Caenorhabditis elegans: one gene and its partners. The protein of the gene in region 1 interacts with the protein of each later gene in a pairwise test. Each region holds a gene or a part of one and is shown on either strand. Other genes may lie near its edges. The genes, in order: Y41E3.7, sqst-2, nstp-8 and egli-1.

Region 1 (5,103 bases):
TTAGAAGCTCAAGACTCAGCCGATATGGCAAATACAAGTATTCCCTAATTGATCATTGCTATTACGTTGAAAAACGTTGATTTGCTCCATCAGCCGAGTCATCAGCCGCACAGCCCTAGTTGCGATTCCAAACAGCACAAGAACAAAAGGTTGAAAACTTGTCATCCCTGCCGTCTTGTCAAAGAAGACGTTATCTTCTGACAAAAAAAAACGGAAGAAGAAGAAGAAGCCGATGTCGTCTGTCCAACTAGTCGTCGTCCCCACATCCCTTCCAACACCATCATCTTATTAGCATTCCTCGCGTCCTTGTCACTTCTTTTTCCCTTCTTGTTAAGTTAGATTTTTGGGTTGAGGAAGAAGGCGAAGTCCGCCCGGGACGGCGGAGCTACACACAAATTCAATTTTGGCGAATAGAAAAAAAGGGAGGAAGAAGCTTCTTCCCCTCGTCTGTGTGTTTACTCTTACTACTTTTGTACGTCTCTTGGATGGAAAGAAACGGAAAACGTGAGTCAGAAGAACAGACCAGAGTAGCGAGAGAATCCCCACACAAATTTCGGTAGAAAATTTGATTTTCCACAAAGGAAAGCAATCCAACGAAAACAAAACCAGAAAAAAAGTGAACTACTACTAAAGAAACACGAGGAAACGCTGGATATCCTCGTGGGAAAACCTTAAATTTTGCTGGAGGGCGAAGGTGACTTCTCTTCAAAAAAAAGCAAGTGTCATGAGAAAAACACGGAATGGATATCAGCACTTCCTGATTATCAGACACAAGTACTGGAATGTAGATAGACAGAGAAATATGACGTATTTCTTCTTGCAATGAGGACTACATTTTGGTTGTAGAATGTTGATGAGAGGTTCTTCCTTCAAGTAAGTACGGTAGGACATTTTCCCGAAAATTTGACATGATAAGTGGGTCTTGCCACGATCTCAGTCACGTTACGGGTGCACCGCATGGAGTCCGAAAAGTCTTATTCCGATTTGATCTTCAAAAAATGCGGGAGTTGAGACGCAGACATCTCTTCTGATTTCACATGGTTGAGATCGTTCTGACGTCACAATTTTTAGAGGAAAAAATTTTCCGCATTTTTTGTAGATCAAATCGTGATGGGACAGTCTGGCGTCGCGTGGTTTCTGGCTTCCTCTCATAAATTTAAATGAAAGAGTTTGCCGAGCTAGGCCATTTTGGCTCTGCCATATCTGGGCCAGAACCCCGTGAAAAACTCAGAATCCGCACGCAGAAAAAAGTTCCGTAATCAGGAAATACCGTAGACAATTGTGAAACCGCCTCGAAAACAACAAAGTAACAAAACAGAAGGATGTGCCGTCAACTTTTTAACAGACGGAAAAACGAGAGAAATAGGGCAAAAAGGAATGAAAGGAGAGGAAGAAGCCACCCAATTCTCCAGAGATTTCAGTGTTGCTCCTCTTGAGCAGGAGGAGGAGGAGAGCCAAATTGGTGGGTGTAGCTGAAATTTTCGTCGACAAAAGAGGCTGAAAATCAATTTGTGACGAATTCTCGACAAAAACTTCTTTTCTTTTTTGAAAACATGTATGTCTATCTCTTTAGGAAAGAATACAAAATGACTGATGAGTATTAGGAGAGCCGGCTCTTATGAGGTGAGCTCATGATGGATTTGTATCCATATTTGGGGCTTTTTGGCTCAGAGCTCCGAGAGCATCAAAAGTAGAAGACCTTTCGGGCTGCCACGGTTTTCTGGCTTCCCTCATAACTTGAAATGGAAGAGTTTGCCGAACTAGGTCATTTTGGCTCGGGGGTAGATTTACGGCGCGTTGCGTGTCGCGTCGCGGCTCGATTTTAGTTGAAAAACTATGTAAATGTATTTGTCCGTGTGGAGTCCGGCGAGCGATTGTCAATGGAGCGCGAAAAATTCAATGAGGAAGGCCAGAACCCCGTGGGGCTGTTATTCGTCAAAGAACTGAACGAATCCTTGGAAAAAGCCAAAATAACTGGTAGACATTGAACATTCCTTCTCTCTCGAAAATCAAATTTGCACACCGCCTGCTTTTACGATAATTGGCCACACTTGAAAAGGTTCTAAAGAAGGCGTCCAGCAAAAAAAAATATATTTCGGACAGAGGTTTCAAAGAGAAATAATTTCTAGTAGCAAAAGTGAAGGAAGAAGCCGCCGGGACACACAAAACACGTATAAACGTCCCAAATGGATTAGACGAAACAAGACGGCGAGTGGTGGAGCAGGAGGAGGAACACGAATTTGTACTGACGAGCAACAAAGTTCGAAAAATCGCTGAAAACGGCTCTATTTGAGGTGCAAAATTGCCATAAAATAGGTTATTTTGACAGCTTTTTCAGATTTGCTGCTTAATTTCAGAGGAGAAGGCACTAAAATTGGAGGATTTTAGCCTAAAATTTTGGAAAATTCATTTAAAGTTTGAGAATGGCTTGAGGGCGCCAGAAGAGAAGCCTAGAAAACTGAATTTGTAAAAAAAAACTGTAAAAAAATTATAAAATTGGATTTTTTTTCCAACTTTCTGAAATTTTCAGCTACATAGTTTTGCGTGGAAGAATTGTGAATTTCGCCAGAAAACCAGCGTTTTCTCTCTTTTTTGGAGCTCGTTTTCCACTTTTTGTTGATTTTTTTCAATAAAATGCCGATTTTACTTGTCATATTATCTTTTTTTCGAATTAAAATGTTATAAAATTTAATTCTCATAAGATTATAAGGATATTCAGATTAAATTAATTACTAGAATTTAATTGGATAACCTTTTAATTCGATAAAAAAAGAATAAAACTAGTAAAATCGACATTAAAAAACGGTGCCACAGGGTTGCAAAATTACGCCCCGCCTCTTTTTCTGTGCAAAATTCACGGATCGATTCAATTTTTGATCAAATTTCTGAAGAAAAACCGCTAAAAATTAATTAAATCAGAAGAAAAGTTGCCAATTCTCCGAGATTTCTATCCTGGAATAGAATAGGAAATGAAAAACAAAATGAAATTTTTTGGAGATTGCGTCTTCGTGTGTCCTTCTTCTTTTTTTTCTCCAATTTTGTTCATCATTTTCGAGAAATGAGGGTGTGGGGGGAAATTGGAAAAGGAATAGAGTGTTTTCTTTTTTTTTGTTAGAATTTTGATTGAAAATCACCCACTTCACATCGTTTCCAGTGATATCTAGCCATCCAGCGTTGTCAAATTCATCGGAAATCTCTCCATGTTGGACCTGGAATTTAATTTTTATTTAATTTTTGATTTTAAAACTGGAATTTTCACTTGTTTGCTCAACGAGAGCAATTTAATGCGATCTTCATATCCAACAGGCTCCTGTTTCCCGACGTGTTCTGGAAAAAAACTCATTTTTTAAAAAGAATTTTTAAATCAAAAAATACCTTTTTTATAATATTGAACGGCAAGCTTGTAGCATTCCTCGAGAGAATGTCCGAATTCCGACTGAATCAGTTGAACCTCGCTTAGACGGACGTGGTTCTCGTCGGCCATCTCTGAAAATGTGCGAAAATTGATTTTTAAAATGCCAGAGCGCAATAAAAATCAAGGGGAAACTGGAAAGAAAATCAGATAAAAATCAGAAAATGAGAATTGCAGCCGGTTTCTAGCAATTTTCATATGTAATTTCGACATTTTCGGTATAAAATCCATAGAAATTAGATTAAAGATCACAATTCGAAGTAAAAATCAATAAAAAATCCAGATTTTCAGAACTTTTTAATGCAAAAACACGAAGAACAACGCTGAAAAAAATGAACGTGGATCCGATGTGGCACACCATTTTGTGATGTTTTGTGTGTAAACACCGGCACGCGAAAATGCACACTTTTGCAGTTTTCAGCTGCAATTAGCAAGGAAAAGCCTATTTTAAAAGTTTTCCAGTGGTTTTTTGGCTTTTTTAAAATTATTTTTTCCAGATTTGAGGCTAAAAATTTGATTAAAAATATAGAAATATTGTATTTAAACTCAAATCCCGCGAAAAACTCGGAAAAAACTGAAAAATTTAGGGTTATTCGGCTAAAATCAAGAAATTTGGAATTTCTCCAGATGTTTGCAACTTTATCATAATTCCTTATTGTAAAAACTGTTTTCTCACTCAATTATTCAAGATTTTCCCGAGATTCGACGAAAAATCTTCTAAATTCTCCCTAAATTTTGTATTTTCAAGGTTTTTTAGGCTGTTTCAGGAAGCGATTTGCTTTTTTTTCAGTTTTTCTATAGATTGCAACTTTCCGCGAAACTCAGAAAACGGAAAACTGGACTTTCTTTAAAAACATTTATTTTCTAGAATTTTCTTCCGCTTCTCCACTTTCTAACTTCAAATTATTCAAAAAAATTCACAAATTTTCCAGGGTAAAAATGGCAACAAAGGAGGAGCTTCTCTCTTTGGGCCTCTCTGATTCAAAAGTAGCTGAAACGCTGAAAAATGTGAAGCTCACCGAAACGATCGGTTCAATTGTGAAGCTTGCGAGCGAGTCTGGCGAGATTTCCAAGCAAAAAGGAACACTTTTGTACCAGTTGGCGACAAAGTTGAAGCCACAAGTCGCTGCTCACACTCCACTAGTTGTCAAGTATATTATGAATGACGGGATTAAGACAGAGCCACAGGTTTGTAATTAAAATTAAATTTCAAATTAAAAAAAAAACAGCTAAATTTCCAAATTTCAAAAAAATTTCAGCTCTCCGCAGCGATCGAGTATCTTCTCTCGCACACCGTTAAAGGTATCCAAGTGCCTGATTTCGAGAAATCATGCGGAGTCGGCGTTGTTGTCACAATCGACGACATCGAAGCGGCCGTTACCAAGGTGATTGGCCAACACCGCGAGAAAATCGTCGCCGAGCGGTACTCGTTCCCGGCCGGAAAGTTGCTCGGCGAGCTACGAGCTCTGCTTCCATGGGCTGATGGTGCGATTACGAAGAAGGAGGTGGATTTGAGATTCTTGGAGCTGCTCGGACCGAAGACTGCGGAGGATTTGGCTCCGAAGAAGAAGGAGAAGAAGCCGGAAGGCCCGAAAGTAAGGCCTGAAATTCCGTACTGTTCTGAAAAAAATTATTGAATTTAATCTACATTTTTCAGGACTTTTGCCGGAAATTTGGAGGAATTCGCAACC
Region 2 (3,913 bases), 7.7 Mb from region 1:
CTCCATTTAATTTGCGTTACGGGGGCAACACTCTATTTAGTGCAAGCTCTTCTTCATATTAAAAATGTTGGATATCATTTATATGTACTCGGACTTTCTGGATTTCCAGCCAAAGCTATTTTCCTATTTTCCTGTATTCTAATGGTCATCACATTTTTTCTGAGAATATTTTGTTTGGATGAAGCCGAGGATATTGTTTGGATAGTGATTGTTTTATTAACTTCATTGAAATTTCTGTTCTTTTGTAGGTAAGTACGCTTTATGATTAGATCCACAATAGGAAATAAACTACTTTTCCAGAGGATTTAAGTCAGTTGGACCATTCGTCTTGATGCTCTATAAAATTATAATTCGTGATTTAATGAGATTCTTCTTGATCTATTTGGTCATTGTAGTTGGCTTCTCTCAAGCATTTTATGTCATATTCCTCGGTTATAAGAGAAGTGATTCTGGAAATCGTGAACCAAGCATTATGAGTAACGTTGCGGAAAGCTACGTACGGATGTTTATCATGTCACTCACAGAGTTTACTGTATTTTTTGAGCAATTGGAAGAATGTGAGCATACCGTTATTGGAAAGGTAGGCTTACACTTTTTTTAAAACAATTCTAGACTAGAAAGATCATCGAAAAATATAGAATTTTTGATTTTCAGATAACATTCGTAGTCTATATGCTTCTCGTAACACTTTTGCTCATTAACATGCTTATTGCTATGATGACTAATACTTATACAGAAGTCTCTGGAAATTCATTAGAGTGGCTTCGACAATGGTCTGCAATTATTCTAATGATGGAACAAAGTTTTGATCCAGCAACCAGGTTACGGTATCAAAGAAGATATGGAATACGTTTTGATGGAGGTGAAAAACTAGTTTTATTGTTAAAAGATAAAATGACAGTGAGTTCCTCTTACACATTTGCCAATAGTTTGATGATAAATTTAAGGAGGAAGAATTCGAGTGCCAGCGGAAGAAAATGCACGAAGAGCGTCGTAAATTCCGTGAGGAACTTCGCACAAACCAGAGAAGACGGCCAGTATTTATATGCAAGCAAGGAGCAAATTATTTCAAATCGAAGCATCGACATACTAATAATAAGTTGATTATTCCTACCGGCTAATTTTTTTTACTGTTTCATTCTCTTCCTAAAATAATTTGTCTAATAAATGTTGGATCTTGTTAGTGAAAAATGTGGAAAGTTGATGTTTCTTCTTTGATTCCTCAATCTTGCTTTTTTAGAAACCTTTAAATTTGGCAGTGGAAAACTTTAAATGAAATGGATGTCTCAAATAGTTTCCGGATTTAATATGTTGCATTCAAATATTTTTATTTAAGACTGTTTAATTTAGAACATTTTAAAAGTGTTTTTTACTATTTTTTGGTACTGTTGCAGTAACCATAATCAAGTATAACGATATGAAAACTTTCAAAACGAACTGCTCAGCCAGTCCACAAGCGGCATACTGTTAGTTTATTTCGGCAAATTTTGTCAGTTCAATTTGAAAATTTATTTATTAAAAAAGGATTAAGAACTCACCCAAGAGAATGCCCATCGTTTTTAGTGTTATTTCTAGTGTTATACCAAGTCAATTCAGATATTTCAAAAAATGCAACATTCTCTGATGTGCCTTCTTCTTTTCTTTGCTTTGCTCTCCAAAAATGACTAACGAGTGGAATGTTATCTTATCAAAAACTGCATCATTCAGCATTTGACAAGAGTTTCACTGGCGCTGAAATCAACATTTTCACTTCTCGACTCTTCCTAACTTTTTTTCTAAAATTGCTCATTACTTCTATAGATTAACTTTTTAGTTTTGATTTAGTTTGGGTCAACAAAAATGAGTAGTATTCGATACAGGAGACCACCAATCATAGAACGAAGATATGAAAGAACTCCATCATATTCGGTAACTTCAAGAATATTCGATTTCAGTAATAAAACTGTTTTCAGACGATTCCAAGGGATATTCATGTCTCATTCTACCATAATAACTATCACAGATCAAAGATTTTGTATTTGAATAAGTTCAACGCAATGGAAAAATTAATTGAAGCTGCACACGAATTGTATCCATCAAATGGTGTTTATCGTCTATTTTCGGGTGAGTTTTTTGAAATGAAAAAATATTTGTAATAATTTTTTAATAGATAGTACAATTGGTGCTCAAAACGAGTTGAATGATTCAGTGCAAGTTATGGAATGTGTTCAAAATCCTGATCATATTCTTCCACATCTACATATAAGACTGGAAGGTAAGATTTTACGGAAAACTTTTTAAAAAACAGTTCCATAGTCCTATTATAACAACCTTGTTAGTTCTTTGTTAGATAATCTTACAATTTGAAAATTCAATTATTCAAATTAAGTTTTTTTAAAAAAAGGAACAATGATCTTTCAAAGTATTTTTTATTTTCAAATTTTGAGAAATTTCAAGTTGTTTTGCAAAGGTGTGTTCTTATGTAACTCAAAACTAATAGTAACAAAATTTTTAAAAATTTAATTTTTCAGATTACCGTCCCAGAAGCATAAGCCGTAATTATCACGAAGTTAACGTTCCAATAATTCGAACTCCATCTCAACATTCAATCCATCAATCTGTTCGATTCAACGATAACAAACGTCATCACCATCATCATCATCATGATTCAATAAGAAACTTCGTCCATCATGACACTCCATGCCGAAACTGTTTCCGTATAATTGTTGGAAGCCGTTATCACTGTCTTCAATGTCCAGACTATGATATTTGTGGAGACTGTGAAAAAGATTTGGTTCACTACGAGCATGCTCTTCTACGAATTGTGACTCCAAGGGTTACAAGTATTCCTGATTATGTCACAGTTAACGCCCCAAGTTACATTTTCCCAGAACATCGTTATGATATCAAAAGAGAACATTATCATTGGTTTTAAATTGTATTTTATAGTTTTGTTGTTTTTCCTATTTATGTTGTGAACTTAGTTTTTCTGTCGGATTTCTGTCCTATCTTGTTATACTTAAAAAGACCAAAAAAGTTATGTAATTGCAGAAGTGCAAAAAACCAAGACGCATCCTCCATTCAATTTTAATTTCCTGAAATCTATCTCGCAAAAAAAAAAACAAAAAAAAAAATTCCCTCTTATTTTGAATTTTAAAATTAAATTTTTCTTGTGCTTTTCAGAAATCTGTTCCAATTGAATTTTCATTCCTATTGACTTGTAGGACTAGAATTAATAACACCGCGGACCACCTTTATTGAGAATTTCAAAAACATTTTGTAGGCCATGTTTCCAATTTTTAATTGTCTTAAAATTAACACAATGTTTCAAAATTTCTATTTTAATTGGCTCCATAGAACACTTTTCCATGTAATTAGAAAATGCCTACCTGCCTGACACCTAGAAAGTGACCAACGCTTACTGTGCATTGAAAGCATGCAAGTAGGCATTTTTGCATGCGTGGGAGGTTTCTACAACTCAGCCAAAGCAGTCTATTGTACCTACCCATTCCTTATTTATTCTTCCGCAATCACCAATGACGCGTTCATGATTTTTCACTTTTTCAAAAACAAAATTTGATTGTCACTGCCCTTATTAACTTTTGCCCACGCTTATTAAATTAGTTTCACTCCTGCAATTCAAATCCTACTAAAACCTCTCTGAAAATGTTATTTCTCCTTTTTGTTCAATAAAACTCAAATTTGAACATATTCTGATTCTGAGTTACACAAATATTTTCAGTCCCTTCAACCTATCATAAACTTTGATATTTGCTCAACATTTTGGAGAAAGCGATGAAGGAGTCAAAAACGGGCGGCCCCGTTGCATTCCTCCTCCAAACGCACCAAAAACTGATAAGATGTTGTTAAGAAGAAGAAGGCACCAAAGAAAGATTCTCTTATCACATTTTTTGGCAGAGAGGGAAAGAATTGC
Region 3 (5,370 bases), on another chromosome or scaffold:
AAAATTAAAGAACGATCCGTTCTTCAAGCGCTATGCACTGCGGATCTGGGAGTCAAAAAAACATTGAAAGTCTGCAAAAATCCACATTTGGTGGACCAAAATGCCTGAACATCATAATGGAACTTTTTTCAAAATTTTTTTTAATATTTTTTATTTTTTTTTGGAATTTTTTAACAGTCAAAAAGTAACACTTACTCAGTTTTTGCCACTCGTAATTTTGGAAGTCGGTCAAAAAAAATTTCTCCTACATTTTTTTTTTTTTTTGAATAATTTGTATTAAAACATTGTAGGGGTCAGTACATGCGACATTCGTTTGGATTTTCTCAAACGCTAATATTTTTCAAATTTTGCCAATGTGCCAAAACTTTGACAGAAAATTTTGAAAAATCAGAAAAGTTTTGGAGTGTTTTATTATGATATTCGGTTTTTTTGTTCATTATAAGTGTTTTCAGACAAAATTTACACTGGTGCTGCTCCACCTTTAAGTTGTGAATTTTGCGATAAAAATGCACATCTTGAAAATGGGAACGGTTTTTTCATTATCTCTAAAGTTCATCAAAACGCCACTATTCCATCTAGATCCATCAAATAGCGTCGCATTTGATGTTGAATGTCCGCCGGGCTTCTTGGTAGGATAGACACGAATATTGAATCAAGCGGAACAATCTTCAAGAACGCTATCGCCCGGTAACACAGTTGGTTTGATTAAATTGTATTTATTCCGTGGAAAACCAATAGTACAAACAAATATATAGTAACGATAAATTTTCTTAATTTTTTTCTGCGTCGCTGTCCTGTTCCAGTGGCTCATATTTTGTAGATGTAGTAGCCGGGAACCGTGAGTATACCACAATAGAAGATGTGACAAGTAGAACTCCGTAAATGAGATCTATACTAAGAGTTCGGTCACCAAGGAATATGGACACAATTGCTGTGAGGCCTATTGCAAGCGATTGGCAATACGTCTTCATCACATTATCGGCGTACTTCATTACCAACGAAATGCAAAGACCTACGATTGAATTACCAATTGTAACAAACCACACTATCCAATTCCAGCCAAAGAACATTTTTCCTGAAATTTCAAAAATTTATTGAAGGTGGAGTAGCGCCAGTAGGGATTTTGTGTAAATACACTTATAATATTCCAAAACAACTAAATATTATAATAAAACACTCTGAAAAATTTCAGATTTTTCATAATTTTTGGTCAAAGGTTTGACAAATTGCCATAATTTTAAAAATTATCGGCTTTTCAGGAAATCCAGAACAATGTCGCATGTTCCGATCCCTTCAATGTTTTAATACAAATAATTGAATAAAAATTAAAGTATAAAAAATGTAGAAAAAACAATTTTTTTGGTCGACTTACAAAATTATGAGTGGCAAAAACTTAGTAATTGACACTTTTTCACTGTAAATAAAAAATGTTCAAAAAATTTTTTTATTCGATCATTTTGGCACAATAGGAGTGGTTTACAAAAAATTTTCCCGCTGGCGCTACTCCACCTTTAGCAGGAGCTCCTTAAAGCCTTCTTACCTGTAAGAACGGCTTCTCCGTCTGTAGAGAGCATTGTGATCCCAGCAAAAAGCAGTGTTAAAGTTGAAAGCCGGATATTCTGAACCCACACGTCAGCTGACGATTCTTTCAGCATTTTTTCAAAGTAGACACCTTAAAGTTACTTCATTTTAGGTCCAAAGTACAGTAACCAACCAGCAAAGCCACTTGTCCAGCACATACCAAACACAGCCGTTATCCCTAGCCAGAAATTTCCGAATACTTTCCCATGGGGGTTAGAATTGTCAATCTGAAATTGGAGGCATTAATTTAGAGTCGATAACTCCAGGAGGAGCATACCTGCACAAGAACCACACCGATGAGAGCCATACCCTGAGCCAGCCATTGATAATTGGAGAGCTTTTGGTTTAATATAATGACGGATAAAAGGGCGGTGGTCAATATGCGTAATTGGACAGTTACCTGAAAATTTAAAAAATACCACGTATGTAACTTTTTCGTGAATTTTCTCATGTAATCTAATTTCCAGGAATTTCAGAAAAAATAAAATCACTAAAATGTCCGGTTAATATGTCTTTTTAAATATCAACTTAGAATATAAACTTATAAGTGCTGAATCATTTTTGAGTTTTCGCGTAAGTCAACTAAGATTTTGGCATTTTGGCATAATTAGGATTAAAATTTTATTTTCTCGGTTTTGTTTGTATATCATAATTTGAATTATTATTTGTCACATTTTCGGACATTTTTCTACAAAGAAATTGGATCAATTTCAATGTTTCAGCGTTTTTCTTAGAGATTACCAAATTTTCTTTTCAAAAACATAATTTAAAAAAAAAGACAAACAGTGCCAAAATTAAATAAACTAATGAAAACTATGAAAACCCAATAAAAATTGCCAAGAAAAATTAAACATTTTGTAAAAATGCCAAAATTTAGGTGATTTGTATGAAGAATTCAAAAAAAAATCATACTAAATTTAAAAATTTCTAAAAAATTTTTTACAGTTTGAATTTGGTATATTGATCCCATATTTTCTTAATTTCATTTTGGGCAAAAATTACCGAATAAGTTGTCGCATCAATATTCGCGAGTGCAATGTAGTATAAATTGTTCTGAATAGCATATACCACTGCTGGAACCGACACTTTCAAGGTTTCCACTCGATTTTTCCAAATGTGTTCGTATAGCTTTTTGCCAGTTCTGTAAGTGTGTTGGAACATTACTTTTTTCCCCAGAATCTTACTTCTCAAAACTTTTTGTTTTAAATAAAACAATTATCAGGCAAAATAATAACTTCAAAACTTCCATCATAAAAACCGAAGTTGTCGGAAGGAAATGGCTCTGAATAGTGATTTTTTCTTGGCAATTGAAAATTAAGATCCTTACCGTATTAGCCATTTGTACAAAAAATGGCATGGCTGTGTGGTGTGCGGTAACTGCGATCATAGATAAAAGTTGAATTGAGCATAACCCTTGAATGATCTAAAATTAACTAATTTCCAAGCTATCATGAATTAAAAAATGAAATTTTAAAAAAATTGGCGTACCGAACTAGAACTCGATTTGACTTTCTTATCAATCTCTAGATCCAAAATTTGATGTTTCACATCACTCATTTTGCACTGAAAATTAAATTTTCAGAGAGTTACAAATACAGCAAATGTATTTAAAGAATAAGCAACAAATCGAATCAATAGGAAATATATTGGCTTTTCAGGATTCAAGATCGTGCGATAATAATATGTAGGCTGCGCCTGGTATCGCAGAAAAAATCAGATTTTCCTCTCAAAAGTCTAGTGAAATTTTCCTTTTTTTTATTTGTCGCTTCGTTTTTTGTTAGACATGTTTTTATCCGGTTTAACTCTAATTATTTAAAATTTCAAAATTTTTCTAAAAAAATCTTGAGTATAATACCTCAATTTTCCAAATTTTCAAAAATGTTCTTCAATTTTTTTCCTTTTTTTAATTTGAAGGAGGACTAACGGTTCTGACGATTTTGAGCGTATAGGCCCAAAATGTGCTCAAATGAACGAATTTTGTAATGAAACTTCTTAGAAATTTTTGAAGAATTTTTTAAGGCGGTTCAAAATTTCTAAAAAAATACACTGATTTTTCCAACAAAAAAAATCTCCAAAATTTCAATAACTTTTAATACATTTTTTTACATTTATATTCGGTCATTACTACTCATTTTTTTATTATAAAAACTCCAGATTTTCAAGATCCCGTCAAAAATTTTTTTAATCGGAAAAAAATTCGCATTTTTTGGTGTGATTTTTCAAACATCAAACAAGCCTGGCCTAGACTGAATTTTTAAAAAATGGGGAGATTTGTTCCTTGTCTTAAATTATTCATTCACATTATGTAAGCATTTTCGTAGTTTCGTCACTCTTGGCAACTTTTTCTATTGACGCTGATGTTGCTTCAAACCCCACCAGGCCTTGCTTTAGCAGTCTGCGTCTCCGATCATTGGTTTCCATTTTATATGTCTAGTATGTATTTAGTTTTCTGTCAACTGATATGTATTGGACTTTTTATTTAATTTTTTTTATTGATTACCATTATATATTTTTGTAGAAAATTTAAATTTCCCGCAAAAATATTTTGAATTTAATTTCTCCCAAAAATAGTTTTTTGAGAAAATTTTGATTTACCGCCAATTATTTTTTAACAAAAATTTGAATTTCCAGCTTAATTGTTTACTGAGGAATTTTGAATTTCCCGCCCATATTCTTTTTTAGAAATTTTGAATTTCCCGCCAAGTATTTTTCAAGAAAATTTGATTTTCCCGCCATATTTTTTTTGAGAAAATTTGATTTTCCCGCCAATATTTTTCTCAAAAAAAAATTGAACAAATCTTTAGCAATTCAGACGACAAAATGCCAGCAGCCCTTCTCATCTCAGGACCGTGTAAAATTTGTGATCTACCAGCTCACGGAAACCATTTCGGTGTGCTCAGTTGCCGAGCTTGCGCCGCATTTTTCAGAAGAGCTTCTCGAAGTCCTCGGTTTCAAGATAAAGCCTGTGAATATGGGGATTGCCGGATTTTTGATGCTGGAGCGTATGTGTTTGCTGGAAATTGAAAAAAAAAACTTCAAATTTTCTAGATATCGCTGTAAAATTTGCCGACTGAAAAAGTGCTACAAAGTCGGAATGGACGCAAGTAGTGGGTTAAAAAGAATTTTTAAAAAATTTTAATATCTAAATGTTCAGAATTTCAAAAGGACCGTGACCTTATTTCAAGCTCCAATGCATACCTTAAACGCACGAAAGTTTATGCTCCACAAAGTTTGGCAAACTTTCTCGGGCGGCCCGAATTCATAATAAGTTTCGAGCCCGAAAAGGCTTCTCCTTTCAAGACAGTGATAGATGTGACGGATTTGGTTCACAAAGCTGCAGAAATTTTCCAGGAGGTAAAGGTTATTTTTTGGCACAAGCCGACACTTCACGGGCCAATTGATGTTTTTTTCGCATCAAATTTTGCCGTCCTGTAATTTGTCGGTTGCTCGCTATTGTGCAATTTTAAGGACCTAGCCAACTCACCAATGCCCTACAAATACAGCAATAGCCTGGAAAAGCTCACATTGGAAATGGAAGACTTGCGGTTAAGAAGCTCAAATCATAAAGTAAAAATTGTGCGGAATATTGGGAAAGCTGAATCGCTTGTCTTTTTCGAGCAAATGTTCTTGGCGACCGCGAACTGGTACGCAAGACTTCCAGATTTTACAAGTCTGGATCTTCGTGTTAAGGTATGGTATTCGGTATTTAAATTTCGAGCCAACAAAGTCTGTAATTTTCCAGCTGGAAATACTAAAATCCACGTGGATGCTTTGGATTCGACTGAACAA
Region 4 (3,419 bases), on another chromosome or scaffold:
TCCAGAGGTTCAAAGTTCGGAATTTTGTTTTCTTCTTCGGTTTTTTCCCGTCAAAAATGAAATTTGAACATCAACGAATAGAAATATTCTTGGAAGATCTTGGAAGATTATATAACCTCATCTTCAGGATAGGTAATATTTAGGAAACAATATTGCCAAAAATGTGAAATATCCGAAAATTTTTCGTTAAAAAATCTTAAACAATTTTTCAAAAGTTCAAAATGAGTGGTAAAAGACAAAATGTCGTTTTTTTGTTCGCTTCAAAATGTGGTGTTTTCATATTGATAAACGTCATCAACCAAAGATGCAAAAAAAAGAGAAGAGACAGCAGTATTACAAAACACATTCCCCCTTTGCGCTATCTTCGTGGTTTTTGGTGTCTTATTACTCATCAAAGAGCGGACAGAGAGAGAGAGAGGAATAGAGAGAAAAGGAGAGAGACTCACAATCCTCCTTTTTTGCTGAAAAGTGCATTTGTGCCGAATTGCCTGTTCTGATGTTGATTTCCATTTGAATATGCGGCTAAAGTTGCAGAAGTGGAGGCGGATATCCGGGAAAACTTGTGCAAATTGTTCGATATGAATCGGCGTCTTGTGGCGATCCGCATCATTGTTTCATCACCTAAAAATTGTTTATTAGTGAAGAAAATATGATTATTATGACAAAAAAGGAGGCGAAAAATAAATAAAAATAGTATAGAAATGAGTTATCGGCTATATTCTCTAAATATCACAAGTTTTGCACAGAAAGCAATGGAAAAAAAATGAGATCGAAAGAGGAAATAAGAGAGAAAATTAATCCGATTTGAGCTTCTTCTTGAGCAAAATAGGAGCCAGCGACAAAATCGCCGAACCCGTAAGTAAAACGATAGAACTCCAACTCCATGCTACACTGGTATGGCTCAATTGTTCCAGTGTTGAGCCAGCTTGAATATACAGGAAACTTGGTGGAGCAACGCCTAGAAATGTTCCCCAGAAGAATGGAGCCAGTGGAACATCTAGAACAGGACTGGCAATGTTGATTAGCCAATTTGGAACAATTGGAGTTACTCGAAGGAAAATCATATAGTTCAGAAAGTCATCACGATGCTTGCTCAGATCATCCTGCCATTTTGCGATTCTTTCGGGAAACTTTTGCAAAACAAATGATCGTCCAAAAAGTTTAGAAATGGTGTAGCAGATGGCGGCTCCAGTTGCAGAGCAGGAGCACACCAACACAATTGCCACATAGAATGGAAACAGGTATCCTGATAGAATTGTTAGAAAAATAGATCCAGGGATAGCGAAGGACTGTAGAAATACGTAGACGACAATTACACCGCACAGAACTACTGAATAGTTGTTCTCCTTGTACTTCGAGAGAACTCTGCCCAGCTGCTTAGCGTCTTCCAGATTCCTGGGATATTTCAAATGAACCTTCTCATCTGCCGAGACTTCAGGAAAATTGCTGTATACAGCAAAAATTGAGACCGCAAAAGTGGCGAAAATGAGTAGAACAAGCCACGGATGTGAAGTTTGGGATGATTTTGTTTCCATAATATCTGAATGTTAAATTCTTTTGTGCACGGACATTACGGGTGAATTAGTGTAAAGACAACATTAAAACATAGAGATGGGAAATAAAAAGATAACATGATTAAAAACTATTTACGAAATACATCAAAACTCGATTTATCCTGTAACATACGTAAGAAGTATGTCAAATTTTAAGAAGATAATCGTAGATTTAGGATTTTTACTACAACAAAGCCTCTTAACCGAAAATTGTTCACAAAGTGTGTTTAATAAAAATCAAACAAATAATTCGAGTTTTTCCTGGATTCAATAGCGTTAGTGCTTCACATTTAATTTAATCAAACAAACTTATGCAAAACTATTTCGCAATATTACTATTCAGATTTCTTTAACTGTGAGAGTTAATCTATATATATATATATATATATATATATATAATATGTTCTTATATATGTTAACTTTTCCGAAATTCTAATTGTGTAATTGAAAAGTTTTGGAAAACAGGTGTTTTCGAGAAATTTTGCAGAAAGAAATGTTGCATCTTTACTTGAACTAGATTTTCTACTCTATTCTTAATTTATTTATATCAGTATATGTTTAAAATAACGTCAAAAGCGGAAACATGAAACAAATTGATTCAAAAGAGCTCTATAATCTTGCGAAGACAGCGGAGGAGAGAAAACAGCGGTAGAGAAAGCAGAGAAAAACGAAAATCGATAATTTCGGATTCAAACTCGACGAGAATGCTTTAAAATTGAATTTATATAAAGAATACTCTCGAAAACCGTGAAAAAATTTAATAAAAATAATCATTAGTGTATATTATTTAGAAAACGGCTCTTCGGTGCGGGACCCGCCACCAAGAAAATTCTATGCGCCTTTAAAAAGTCAGCCGTTTTTATTTATTGATCATCTGATTTCTAAGATTTCTGCTGAAATTAAAAAGGTTTTCATTTAAAAAAGTAATATTTATTGATAATTGTTGCTCGGATAACTTTAAATTTATTTTCTTATAATAATTGCATCATTCTCTATTGGAAACGCTCAACAATATATCATTTTTTAGACAAAATGGAAACAAACTTCATTGGTGACGACTATGGACCGCTCTTTCACTACCAATATCGTCTTATCGTTATTGGGGATTCAACAGTTGGCAAATCTAGTCTTTTACGGTACTTCACAGAAGGAAAAATGGCCGAAATCAGCGACCCAACTGTCGGAGTAGACTTTTATGCAAGGATGATTGAGTTGAGGCCTGGATATCGTGTTAAATTGCAACTATGGGATACAGCAGGACAGGAAAAATTCAGGTATGTGGATTTTTTTAAAAAGAATATTAGCTGATTAAAAAAAATATTTTTAGATCAATTACAAAATCCTACTATCGGAATTCTGTTGGAGTCCTTGCAATCTACGACACAACGAATCGAGAAAGTTTTGAGCATGTTGAAAATTGGGTTAAAGAAGCAGCATTAAATTTGGGTGGTCCAAGCCCATCGAAGTGTGTCTTCCAATTAGTCGGAACAAAAAGTGATATGGATTCACAGCGACAGGTAATTTTTGAACAAAAGTTGTGTTTAAAAAATTGGTTAAAAGCTTTCAGGTAAACTATGAGGAAGGCGAGTACTTTGCCAAGTACCATAAAATGAAGTTTATCGAGACGTCGTCGAGAACAGGAGACAATGTTAATGAAGCTTTTCATATGATTGCACAAGAGGTTTTTTTGAAAATGTTTCAATTTTATGATGTAATTTTCAAATTTTTAGATTCAAAATCGAGTCGACGACGGAGAACTGCGGCCCGTGGATGGCTGGGAAGGCCTTAAAACTGGTATTATGAGGTCACAATCCGTGTGCCTATCCGAAAGAAGTTTCCCTCAAAACAGCAGCGCAGGAGCTTGCG

The links.
Region 2: the proteins of Y41E3.7 (region 1) and sqst-2 interact in a two-hybrid assay, tested with the Caenorhabditis elegans proteins (one large-scale study listed by BioGRID).
Region 3: the proteins of Y41E3.7 (region 1) and nstp-8 interact in a two-hybrid assay, tested with the Caenorhabditis elegans proteins (one large-scale study listed by BioGRID).
Region 4: the proteins of Y41E3.7 (region 1) and egli-1 interact in a two-hybrid assay, tested with the Caenorhabditis elegans proteins (one large-scale study listed by BioGRID).

What each region holds. Positions count from the first base shown.
Region 1 is NC_003282.8:15,012,425-15,017,527, reverse strand, and holds the start of Y41E3.7 (Golgi resident protein GCP60), read right to left. Parts: upstream 3,494-5,103; 5' UTR 3,485-3,493; coding exon 3,376-3,484; intron 3,328-3,375; coding exon 3,260-3,327; intron 3,210-3,259; coding exon 3,139-3,209; intron 2,274-3,138; coding exon of another isoform or gene 2,192-2,273; exon of another isoform or gene 2,032-2,191; intron 1-2,031. Other genes in the region: qars-1 (putative glutamine--tRNA ligase), read left to right, coding at 4,352-4,600, 4,672-5,007.
Region 2 is NC_003282.8:7,326,887-7,330,799, reverse strand, and holds sqst-2 (ZZ-type domain-containing protein), read left to right. Parts: upstream 1-1,824; 5' UTR 1,825-1,839; coding exon 1,840-1,908; intron 1,909-1,952; coding exon 1,953-2,103; intron 2,104-2,149; coding exon 2,150-2,254; intron 2,255-2,510; coding exon 2,511-2,914; 3' UTR 2,915-3,029; downstream 3,030-3,913. Other genes in the region: ocr-4 (Ion transport domain-containing protein), read left to right, coding at 1-248, 301-580, 655-900, 948-1,121.
Region 3 is NC_003283.11:2,213,492-2,218,861, reverse strand, and holds nstp-8 (Nucleotide Sugar TransPorter family), read right to left. Parts: upstream 3,211-5,370; 5' UTR 3,139-3,210; coding exon 3,070-3,138; intron 3,005-3,069; coding exon 2,909-3,004; intron 2,864-2,908; coding exon 2,766-2,863; intron 2,723-2,765; coding exon 2,584-2,722; intron 1,982-2,583; coding exon 1,859-1,981; intron 1,809-1,858; coding exon 1,715-1,808; intron 1,673-1,714; coding exon 1,541-1,672; intron 1,076-1,540; coding exon 771-1,075; 3' UTR 701-770; downstream 1-700. Other genes in the region: nhr-184 (Nuclear Hormone Receptor family), read left to right, coding at 4,402-4,583, 4,630-4,688, 4,736-4,935, 5,050-5,271, 5,324-5,370.
Region 4 is NC_003280.10:9,322,076-9,325,494, reverse strand, and holds egli-1 (Transmembrane protein 41 homolog), read right to left. Parts: upstream 1,536-3,419; coding exon 795-1,535; downstream 1-794. Other genes in the region: eat-3 (Dynamin-like GTPase OPA1, mitochondrial), read right to left, coding at 447-607; Ras-related protein rab-39, read left to right, coding at 2,586-2,827, 2,881-3,070, 3,121-3,234, 3,284-3,419.